Linked DNA regions of Callithrix jacchus. The main gene of each other region encodes a partner of the protein of the gene in region 2 in a complex. Links are inferred from orthologs where the notes say so. Each region holds a gene or a part of one and is shown on either strand. Other genes may lie near its edges.

Region 1 (4,240 bases), on a different chromosome or scaffold from region 2:
GCATCTTGAATCCAGGAGAGAGAGGATTAATATAGTTGTAGCAGAGATTACCCCAAGGTGGGGCACAGTGGCCCACACTTATAATACCCACATTTTGGAAGGCCAAGGTGGTAGGATTACTTGAGCCTAGGAGTTTAAGACCAGCCTGGGCAACATAGTGAGACCATGTCTCTACAAAAATTTTAAAAATTAGCAAGCATGGTAGCACACACTTGTGGTCCCAGCTACAAGGGAGACTGAAGCAGGAAGATCTCTTAAGCCCAGTGACCCGTGATCATACCACTGTGCTCTAGCCTGGGCAACAGAATGGGATCCTATCTCCAAAAAAATAAAAATAAAAATACCACAAGGGTCTTTTCTGACCTTTCCTCCTCCCTCCCCAAATTACAGAGCATGATTCTTGCAGAGCCTGACTTGCTAATCTAGTCCCAAATCCTAAATCCCAACCCTTTCCCTTCCTCCCAACAACAGGTTGTTTCCAATTCTGGAAGCCTGTGGAGGAAACAGGAACAGATATGGCAAGAACCCTCCCTGCAAACCAAGGCAGACTGGGCACTGGAAAGAGTGACAGTGATGATGGAACCTGGTAGGGAGGAGGGGCGTCTGAGACAGAAAGGCTCATTGTGCACGGATGGGAAAGAGGACCATTGGCCCTGTCCTGTGACACTGACTGACTGACTGTGCCCAACCATGGGATGCTGAGGAGAGACGCTCACCCCCTCAGAACAGCTGAGACCCAGAGGCTTTGCTAAGTCCCAGAAGACAGGGACAGAGAAAAGACAGCTAGAACACGCAGAAGCACAAGGAAAGGAATAGCAGTCCAGTTCCTCCAGCCCTTGACTCTAGACTACAGGGTTGCTGAAGAGAGATGGCTGTGATAGAAGAGGCAGGAGGCCCTCAACCAGCTTGTAAATGCTCTGTCCAGGTAGGCTTCATGCCTTAGCTAACAACTCCAGAAGAACAGTACTAAAGGGTCATGGCAGGACCCAACGGGAACACTTAAAAATCTCATCTACCACCCCAAAATGCTATGAAGGTTTTGAATTTTCTTTATGCCAAGACTCCCAGAAAATTCTTGTTTTTGAGACCTGTGACAATAAATGGAACAGGGAGGAATAAAGAAAGACATGGGGGCTCCATCTTTCTTCTCCAAACATATACTCTTTGCCCCTCCAACAACTTGGACCTCAAATGGGAGAACCTCACCCAGAAGGTATCCTCGGGAAGAAAAGAAATAGAAAAGCCAAAGGCAAAATGGGAAGGGAAAAAGTGCCTCCTCACACACATAGGGATACTGAAAGGTCTTTATTGCCCACTGGCCACTGATAGTTTCCCAGCCACATGCTAGGCCCTCTAGGTCTCTCCAACCCACTCTAAGGACCTGTGAAATGCAGCCACAGTCCAGCTCTCTTTTTCCCTCTCCTTCCAGGGGACCAAGGTGCCCTCTGGGGCATACAACATGGCAGCAGGACCGTGGGAAGAGGGGCAGGAGGACTGAGCAGCATTCTCTGTAGAGGAGGACAGGAAAGGAGACCTCTCTTGGCACTCATTTATGGAGGGTTGTCCCTGAAGAGAAGGGCAGGTGGGAGAGGTTCCCTGTTACTTAGGAGAAAGCACCAGTGGCAAAGAGCACAATGAAGAGGATGATAATGAAAACAATCACGCAGATAAGGACAATCATCTTCACGTTCTTCCACCAGAACTTCCGAGCCACCTTCTGCGATGTCGTCTTGAAGTGCTCAGACTGTTGAGGATAAGGCAGAGTGAGTGACCCAGTGGCTCCTCCCACTGAAACAAGAGTGCAAGAATACAAATGCAGCCCACAGACCATACATCTTTTTTTTTTTTTTTTGAGATGGAGTCTCACTCTGTTGCCCAGGCTGGAGTACAGTGGCGAGATCTTGGCTCACTGCAGCCTCCACCACCCAGGCTCAAGTGATTCTCCTGCCTCACTCAGCCTCCTGAGTAGCTGGGATTACAGGCACCCACCACCACACCCAGCAAACTTTTGTATTTTTAATACAGATGAGGTTTCACCATGTTGGCTAGGCTGGTCTCGAACTCCTGACCTCAAGTAATCTGCCCACCTGGGCCTCCCAAAGTGCTAGAATTACAGGCATGAGCCACCACACTGGGCCTACAAGGCTAGACATCTGTCTGTTTGTTTATTTGAGACAGTTTCACTCTGCCTCCCAGGCTGGATTGCAGTGGTGCAATCTCAGCTCATTGCAACCTCTGCCTTCCAGGTTCAAGCAATTATCCTGCCTTAGCCTCCCAAGTAGCTGGAATTACAGGGGTGCACCACCATGCCCAACTAAGTTTTATATTTTTAGTAGAGATAGGGGTTCACCAAGTTGGCCAGGCTGGTCTTGAACTCCTGACCTCAGGCAATCCGCCTGCCTTGGCCTCCCAAAGTGCTGGAATTACAAGCATGAGCCACCATGCCCAGCTTTGTTTGTTTGTTTGTTTTTTGAGACAGGGTCTCACTCTATCACCCAGGCTGGAGTGCAGTAGCACAATCTCAGCTCACTGCAGCCTCCATCTCTAGGGCTCAAGCAATCCTGCCTCCTCAGCCTCCTGAGTGCTGGGACTACAGGCACATGCCACCATACCCTGCTCAAGCCATACATCATAATACTGACACTGTAAGCTGAGGTAACAAACTACTAAATAAAAGATGCTCTATCCACCTACCTTGACAAATATACCTTCCTAAAAATCTGGAAGGCCAGGTTGAAATTTAGAATTCTTAAAATCCTGGGAGGTCGCTACCTAGATACGACTAGGGGTTCCCTTTCTCTTCTTACCCCTGCACTGCCATGCACACTGAGGGGTCCTTGAAACCTGCTCACACCCAAAGGTACAACACTGGCAGCACAGTCTGCTCTTGGAAGGGCAGACTCTGGGACTGAGGAGTGCAGGCTCCAGGTGGGCACCTCTCCCAGCTCCAAGACTCCTTGCTGAGGCTGAAGGAGGGACCAGGACAGGACAGAGGGTTGGAAGTAAGGGAACTCCTCCTCTTCCACCCACTCTTTCCCATCCCCAGCAATTCGAGTTAGAGACACTGAATTTCCTAGAGCTTGGCCGGGCATAGTAGCTCAAGTCTGTAATCCCAGCACTTTGGGAGGCCAAGGCGGGCAGATCATCTGAGGTCAGGAGTTTGAGACCAGCCTTGCGAACATGGCGAAACCCCATCTCTACCAAAAATACAAAAAATTAGCCAGGTGTGGTGATGCACACCTGTAATCCCAGCTACTCAGGAGGCTGAGGCATGAGAATCGTTTGAACCTAGGAGGTGAAGGTTGCAGTCACCCAAGATTGTGCCTCTGAGCTCACTTCTATCCTCAGCAACAGAGTAAGACTCCGTCTCAAAAAAAAAAAGTCCCTAGGCTGTGCTCTCCAAATTAAGCTACGTTTAAGCTGCAGAAACAGGCACTGAGTCCCAGGGAGACAAGGGAGCAGTACTCAAGGGCCAGGAGTTCACACAGAACTCAGAAAGCCAGAGCAGGCCTCTCCCCGAACACAGAACCTGAGGCTCCAGGCTTTGCTCAACTTTGGAGTTACTTCCTCCCTGAAACAGCTGGCCTCAGCCCCTGGCTGGAGAGAGGAATGAGGTCTAGCAAGATGTGTGGGAGATATTATTCTAGCCTTCATCTAGCAGGGGACCCTGGGATCAAAGCATTTTACTGCTCTTTCCAGCTTGTTTTTAAAGCCAACTTACCAAGATGCCAGCAATTTCTCACCCTTTGCCTAATAGCTCCTAGAGAAGGCTAGAGGCCATAGGGGAGTTTCCTCAGAGCCAATATTTCTGCCCTGGGAAGGTCAGATGCAAATGATTGTCTTGGGCAGGCTTCAAAGGGAAATTCAGTTTCCCAGGAGAGAATCCTAAGAATGCAGGGGCTGACTGAGCTATTGGTCTCAGAACATGCCTCTATGGGCGAGCTGCCACCTCAAGCCCCAGTCATGGGATCCATTCCCTGGGATCCCTAACAATCTGTGGATCAGAGCAGATTCAGAAGTAGAGACTGCTCATATCAGCTCCCAAACCTGGTGAAAAGCAACAGAAATGGCTAACTTCTGGCCCTCGTGTTTATTTTGCCCCACCAAAAAGAAATTCCCTTCCTCCCTCTTTTCCTCCAACCCCCAGTGGGTTTCCCGTCCTCACTGTGGCTTCCAGATCCTCTGTCTTGTTGCGGAGATGCTCCAAGTTTTCCCCTCGGGCCAGGATCCGCTCCACATT
Region 2 (4,949 bases):
TTTCCCCCCTTAGCCAAATCCTTCTATACAAAGTCAGCATCATTTGTAGAGTTCCAGTCCTAAAACTGGGTGGCAGAGAAATAAGTGATGATTCAAGTTACCTTGCAAAAAGTGCAGAAGAGTGGGTGGGAGTGCTGGAGACCCCAGGTACTAAATAAACATTTTGTCCTACTGAGGCCTGCCTAATGGTGATTCTCAGAGGGGTGGAGGAAGACTACTGCACAGCCACATCTGTGTGACACTCCATTCCCACATACTCTTTTGGGTGCCCCTGCCGGTCACAGCCTGGCAGCCTCGAGCCAGTGGAAGACCTGTTCCCAATCACAGGAGAGTTCCAGATGAGAGCACATGGGGAAGAGGGGCTCAGCCAATTCCCTGCACATTTCTAGGAGTCACAGTGAGTAGCACTGGTCTCTACTAACACGCATGCCAAGGATTGGAGGCTGGAGGGAAGTGGGGACATCTGCCAACGAGAGCAAAGAACATAACACACTCCATTTCCCATTCTAATACTGATCCTTTCCAGGAGATGAAAGAATAAGACGTGTTTGGACAGAGTGTGTGTGTGTGTGTATGACTGTATGTGTACATGTGTGTGAATGACGACTCCTAAACAAAGGTGTGGGAAGGACCTTCCTCTACCAAATGACTGGCTCACGTGCCCCCTTAACACTCTGACTCATAGTAAGGCTTAGGAATAAGAAATAGAGGCTCGTGGCTGTAAGACTGAAATTCCATCTGCATCTTTCCATACGCTCATTAAAGTGAGAAATGCAACTCTTCTTATTCCCATCTGGTAATCAAATACCCAAGATATGCAGGGCCAGGCTATTGTGCTCAGACTGAAACTCTAAGCATTTTGCTGGAAGAAATTGTCGAGGTGTTAACCCTAGGAAAATGTGGAACAAACACTTCCTTATAACCGCAAAATGTCTTAAGATCTACTCTAACATTTGCAAACACACATTAATTTACATACTAAAACAGTAAATGAAATTTCTTGGAAGTTCAAAAAAAGATCTTTCAAATCTTTTTCATCACAACAGTGGAAATCCATCTGTCTTCAGAGTTGTCGAACTTTTCTTTCTGTACTTTTTATGTTGACATCTAACTTGTCCACTTTGGTTGTCAGCCGGTCAAGAATGTCATCTTGCTCCTCAATTTCCGTCTGGATCCCCAGGGCTATGTCCTTCAGACGGCCCAATCCCATGGACAGCTCATCTGTTGGGGAAGGAAATGATACGCAGGCCTGAGCAAACACAGTCTCAGCACATGCAAATGCTTCCTGATGGTGTGGGTAAGGAGGAGAGACATGCCGAGGAATCTGTCGCCTGGTGGGACTGCACTTACTGCAGAGATGAGTCTTGACTTAACTGATTATATCAGGGTAAATAGAAAAGCCTTTTTCCCAGGTTTGTGACTGTGTGTTTGTGCACGCTGGGGTAGGGAGACATGCCCAGGGCTGCTTTCTGCCTTTTTTCTAAGAACAGCAGCCAGGAAAGAGCCAGAGGGGAGGGAGAAGTGGTGGTGCTTTGTAAGCCTTCTTATTTGCAAGATGAAATATAAAACACTAAGCGAAAAAAGGTCAGGATAAACAAATGCCTAGCATTGGCACCACACATCTAAGTGAAATGAGTTTTTTTTAAAAAGGTAGTCTTCAGGCTGTATGCGGTAGCTCACACCTGTAATCCTCACACTTTCGGAGGCCCCAGTGGGTGGACTACTTGACATCGAGAGTTCAAGACCAGCCTGGCCAACAATGGTGAAACCTTGTCTTTATTAAAAAATACAAAAATTAGCTGTGTGTGGTAGTACATGCCTGTATTCCCAGCTACCCAGGAGGCTGAGGCAGGAGAATCACTTGAACTTGGGAGGAGAAAGTTGCAAGTGAGCTGAAATCAACGCACTGCTCTCCAGCCTAGACAACAGAGCAAGAGTCCATTTAAAAAATAAAATAAAAAGATAGGCCAGGTGCGGTGGCTCACGCCTGTAATTCCAGCACTTTGGAAGGCCGAGGCAGGCAGATCACTTGAGATCAGGAGTTTGAGACCAGCCTGGCCAACATGGTGAAACCTCATCTCTACTAAAAATACAAAAATTATCTGGGTATGATGGTGCATGCCAGTAATCCCAGCTACTTGGGAGGGTGAGGCATGAGAATTGCTTGAACCTGGGAGGTAGAGCCTTCAGTGAGCTGAGATTGGGCCACTGCACTCCAGCCTGGGCAACAGAGTGAAACTCTATCTCAAAAAGAAATAAAAAAATAAAAAGATAATCTTCAGGTCAGGCACAGTGGCTCATGCCTGTAATCCCAGTATTCTGGGAGGCTGAGGTGGGAGGATTGCTTGAGCCCAGGAGTTGGAGACTGGCCTAAGCAACAATAAAAAAGAAAAGAAAGAGAAAAACAGTATAATTTAAAAATTGAAAGAAAAAAAAAAAAAGATAGTCTTCAGCTCTTTGCTTCTGGAGCTTACTGAAACTCATGGCCTCATGCTCCATGGAGTAGAGCCTGTGGTTGCCTCAGACCTCAGGAGGAAGCTCACTGGCAGCCAGGGCAGCAAAGGATAAGCAAACAGTGAGGCTAAGATAAAATGTGTGATAATGTAAAGCAACCAGGCAAGGGCACTGGAGTCAAGAGCCTGCCTGAGTTCCAGAAATAGCAGGGAGGGTGTGTTAAGATGGGAAGAGTGTGAGCAAAAGCAACACCCCCTGCCCCACCAGAGTGGCTGGCCTGACCTGTGTCAGCAGGGCTGGAGGGCCAAGCTCTGAACCAGCCACCCGCCCTTCTGCCCTGGCCTACCTCCTACTCTAGACTTCGTCCTGCCAGGACCTGCCCAGCTGCAAGTCCATAGTGCCAATTGTGCACCCTTAGACCCCTAGTGGCGGGCAGTACTTAGCTTTTTGTCCTGTCTCCTGGAATTCAGTATCCTTCATCAATGTCCCTTCTCCCACTTCCTGCCAGCAGGCACCAACCATACCACCTGCTCTAACCACTCCCTTTCTCCTGGTGAAGGACAAAGGGCTTTCAAGCCTCTCTGGGTTTCTCTGGAGTAGTCAGATCTGGGTAGACACACCTTCTACCTCGGAGAAGTCTTTGGCTCTGGAGAACAGAGTCCAGGAAACAGAAGGAGGCGGCGGCTGTCTGGGGCTTCCCAGAGAGTGAGCAGGAGCAAGCCTGTGCGTAGACACTCCATGTGCATCTTCATGAGTTTCAGTTTTGCCTCCCACTAGATATCTTTACAGCAGTGGGCGGGGGGTGGGGGTGGGGGTGGGAATCTTATTATTTCTCCTCTTCACTTTGCCAGCTCCAAACAGGGGCTGGGAGACTAACAGGGTGACCCAGGTAACCATGGGGGAGATTTCTGTTAATGGAGCAGCGGTAAGAGGAGGCAGCAAGTCTGAGACACTACCTAGAACAAAGACACGGAACTGCCCACAAGCCAGTACCTACTTAAATTACTGACTTCTCCAATAAATAATCACTGGCCAGGTCCGATGGCTCATGCCTACAGTCCCAGCACTTTGGGAGGCCGAGGCGGGACTGAGGTCGGGATTTTGAGACCAGCCTGACCAACCCGGAGAAACCCTGTCTCTACTAAAAATACAAAATGAGCTGGGCGTGGTGGCATATGCCTGTAATCCCAGCTACTCGGGAGGCTGAGGCAGGAAAATCACTTGAACCCAGGAGGTAGAGGTTGCTGTGAGCTAGATTCTGCCATTGCACTCCAGCCTGGGCAACAAGAGCAAAACTCCATCTCAAAAAACGAAACAAAACACCAGCAACAACAAAACAAAAAATAATCACTAAGTGCTTGCCTGCTGGGCCCCAGGTACAAAGTAGTGACAAAATGGAAACACTCCCATGCTGCCTGGAATCTGCAGTCTGGTTGGGAAGACAGCAGGCAAACCAGCAGATACACAATCACAAATGACCAGGGCAGCCCCCTAGAAACACAAGGGCCCCAAGAGATGGGGAGAGGACGCCACACTAATGCAAGACTGACAGGAGAAGGAGCCAGCCTGCAGAGTCGGAGGAGGCCACTCCAGGCAGATAAGGGTCACGAGGCAGAAAGAACTCATATCAGAAATCTCACATGAGCTTGCAGGTGATGAGGGCAGAAGGTACTAGGGCAGGCAGAGAGAGCCTGGACTGCATGGTGAGTGTGTGTGGGTTCCATGAGAGAGTTCTGGAAGAATATACCCCCTCACTCCCTTTTAATTTTTTTTTTGAGACCAAGTTTCACTCTTGTTGTCCAGGCCAGAGTGCAATGGTGCAATCTCAGCTCACTGCAACCTCCACCTCCCAGGCTCTAGCGATTCTCCCGCCTCAGCCTCCCGAGTAGCTGGGATTACAGGCACCTGTCACCACATCCGGCTAATGTCTATCTTTTTAGTAGAGATGGGGTTTCACATGTTGATCAGGCTGATCTTGAACTCCTGACCTCAGGCAATCCACTCGCCTAGGCCTCCCAAAGTGCTGGGATTACAAGCATGAGCTACCGCGCCCAGCCCCCTGCACTCGCTTCTGTTTTGAAACATCATGCTGGAGGCTGTGTCACCAAAGTGCCAATTGCAACACTAGTGCTAACTTTTACCATGCCAGGCACTTTCTGGCTCAGGTAATTGTCCCATTGTTCTCAGAGGCATCCCGTTTCACAGAAGAGGAAAACAGGGCTCTGAGTGGCCAATGGGAAAAATGGAGTGAGCGGTCATGTCCAGGCTACACTCGATGGCCTCTCAGGGACTCCTGGGTCCCTGGGTGCTATCATGAAAGAGAGGTAAGGACGGCTCAGTTGGGCTGGAAGTAGGAAATGGTGAGAAGTGGACAGATTCCAGAGACAGTGAAGTGGCAAAATGGACCTGGCTTAGTGTGGGATGTGATGTGTGGTGAGGGAGCTGAAGCTATAGGCTCCTGATGCAGGGGCTGTGCTTGGTGAGAGCTGCCTGAA

Evidence for each region. The genes of interacting proteins can lie anywhere in the genome.
Region 1: the proteins of SNAP29 (region 2) and VAMP8 are in contact, whole or in part, in a crystal structure (PDB 4WY4), measured with the Homo sapiens proteins. The link is inferred for Callithrix jacchus from reciprocal best matches to the Homo sapiens genes SNAP29 and VAMP8. Residues at the interface, in NP_004773.1 of Homo sapiens: Leu206, Leu209, Ser210, Leu213, Leu216, Lys217, Ala220, Leu221, Met223, Gln224, Ile227, Glu228, Gln230, Asp231, Leu234, Leu237, Thr238, Val241, Asp242, Leu244, Asp245, Ile248, Lys249, Thr251, Glu252, Val255, Arg256, Leu258; in NP_003752.2 of Homo sapiens: Leu16, Glu19, Val20, Val23, Ile26, Met27, Gln29, Asn30, Arg33, Ile34, Arg37, Asn40, Leu41, Leu44, Lys47, Thr48, Asp50, Leu51, Thr54, Ser55, His57, Phe58, Thr61, Ser62, Val65, Lys68, Phe69.

Annotation. Positions count from the first base shown.
Region 1 is NC_133515.1:27,443,074-27,447,313, forward strand, and holds the end of VAMP8 (vesicle-associated membrane protein 8), read right to left. Parts: coding exon 4,166-4,240; intron 1,745-4,165; coding exon 1,604-1,744; 3' UTR 1,287-1,603; downstream 1-1,286. UniProt on the Homo sapiens protein: SNAREs, soluble N-ethylmaleimide-sensitive factor-attachment protein receptors, are essential proteins for fusion of cellular membranes.
Region 2 is NC_133502.1:193,238,772-193,243,720, forward strand, and holds part of SNAP29 (synaptosomal-associated protein 29), read right to left. Parts: intron 1,222-4,949; coding exon 1,064-1,221; 3' UTR 1-1,063. UniProt on the Homo sapiens protein: SNAREs, soluble N-ethylmaleimide-sensitive factor-attachment protein receptors, are essential proteins for fusion of cellular membranes.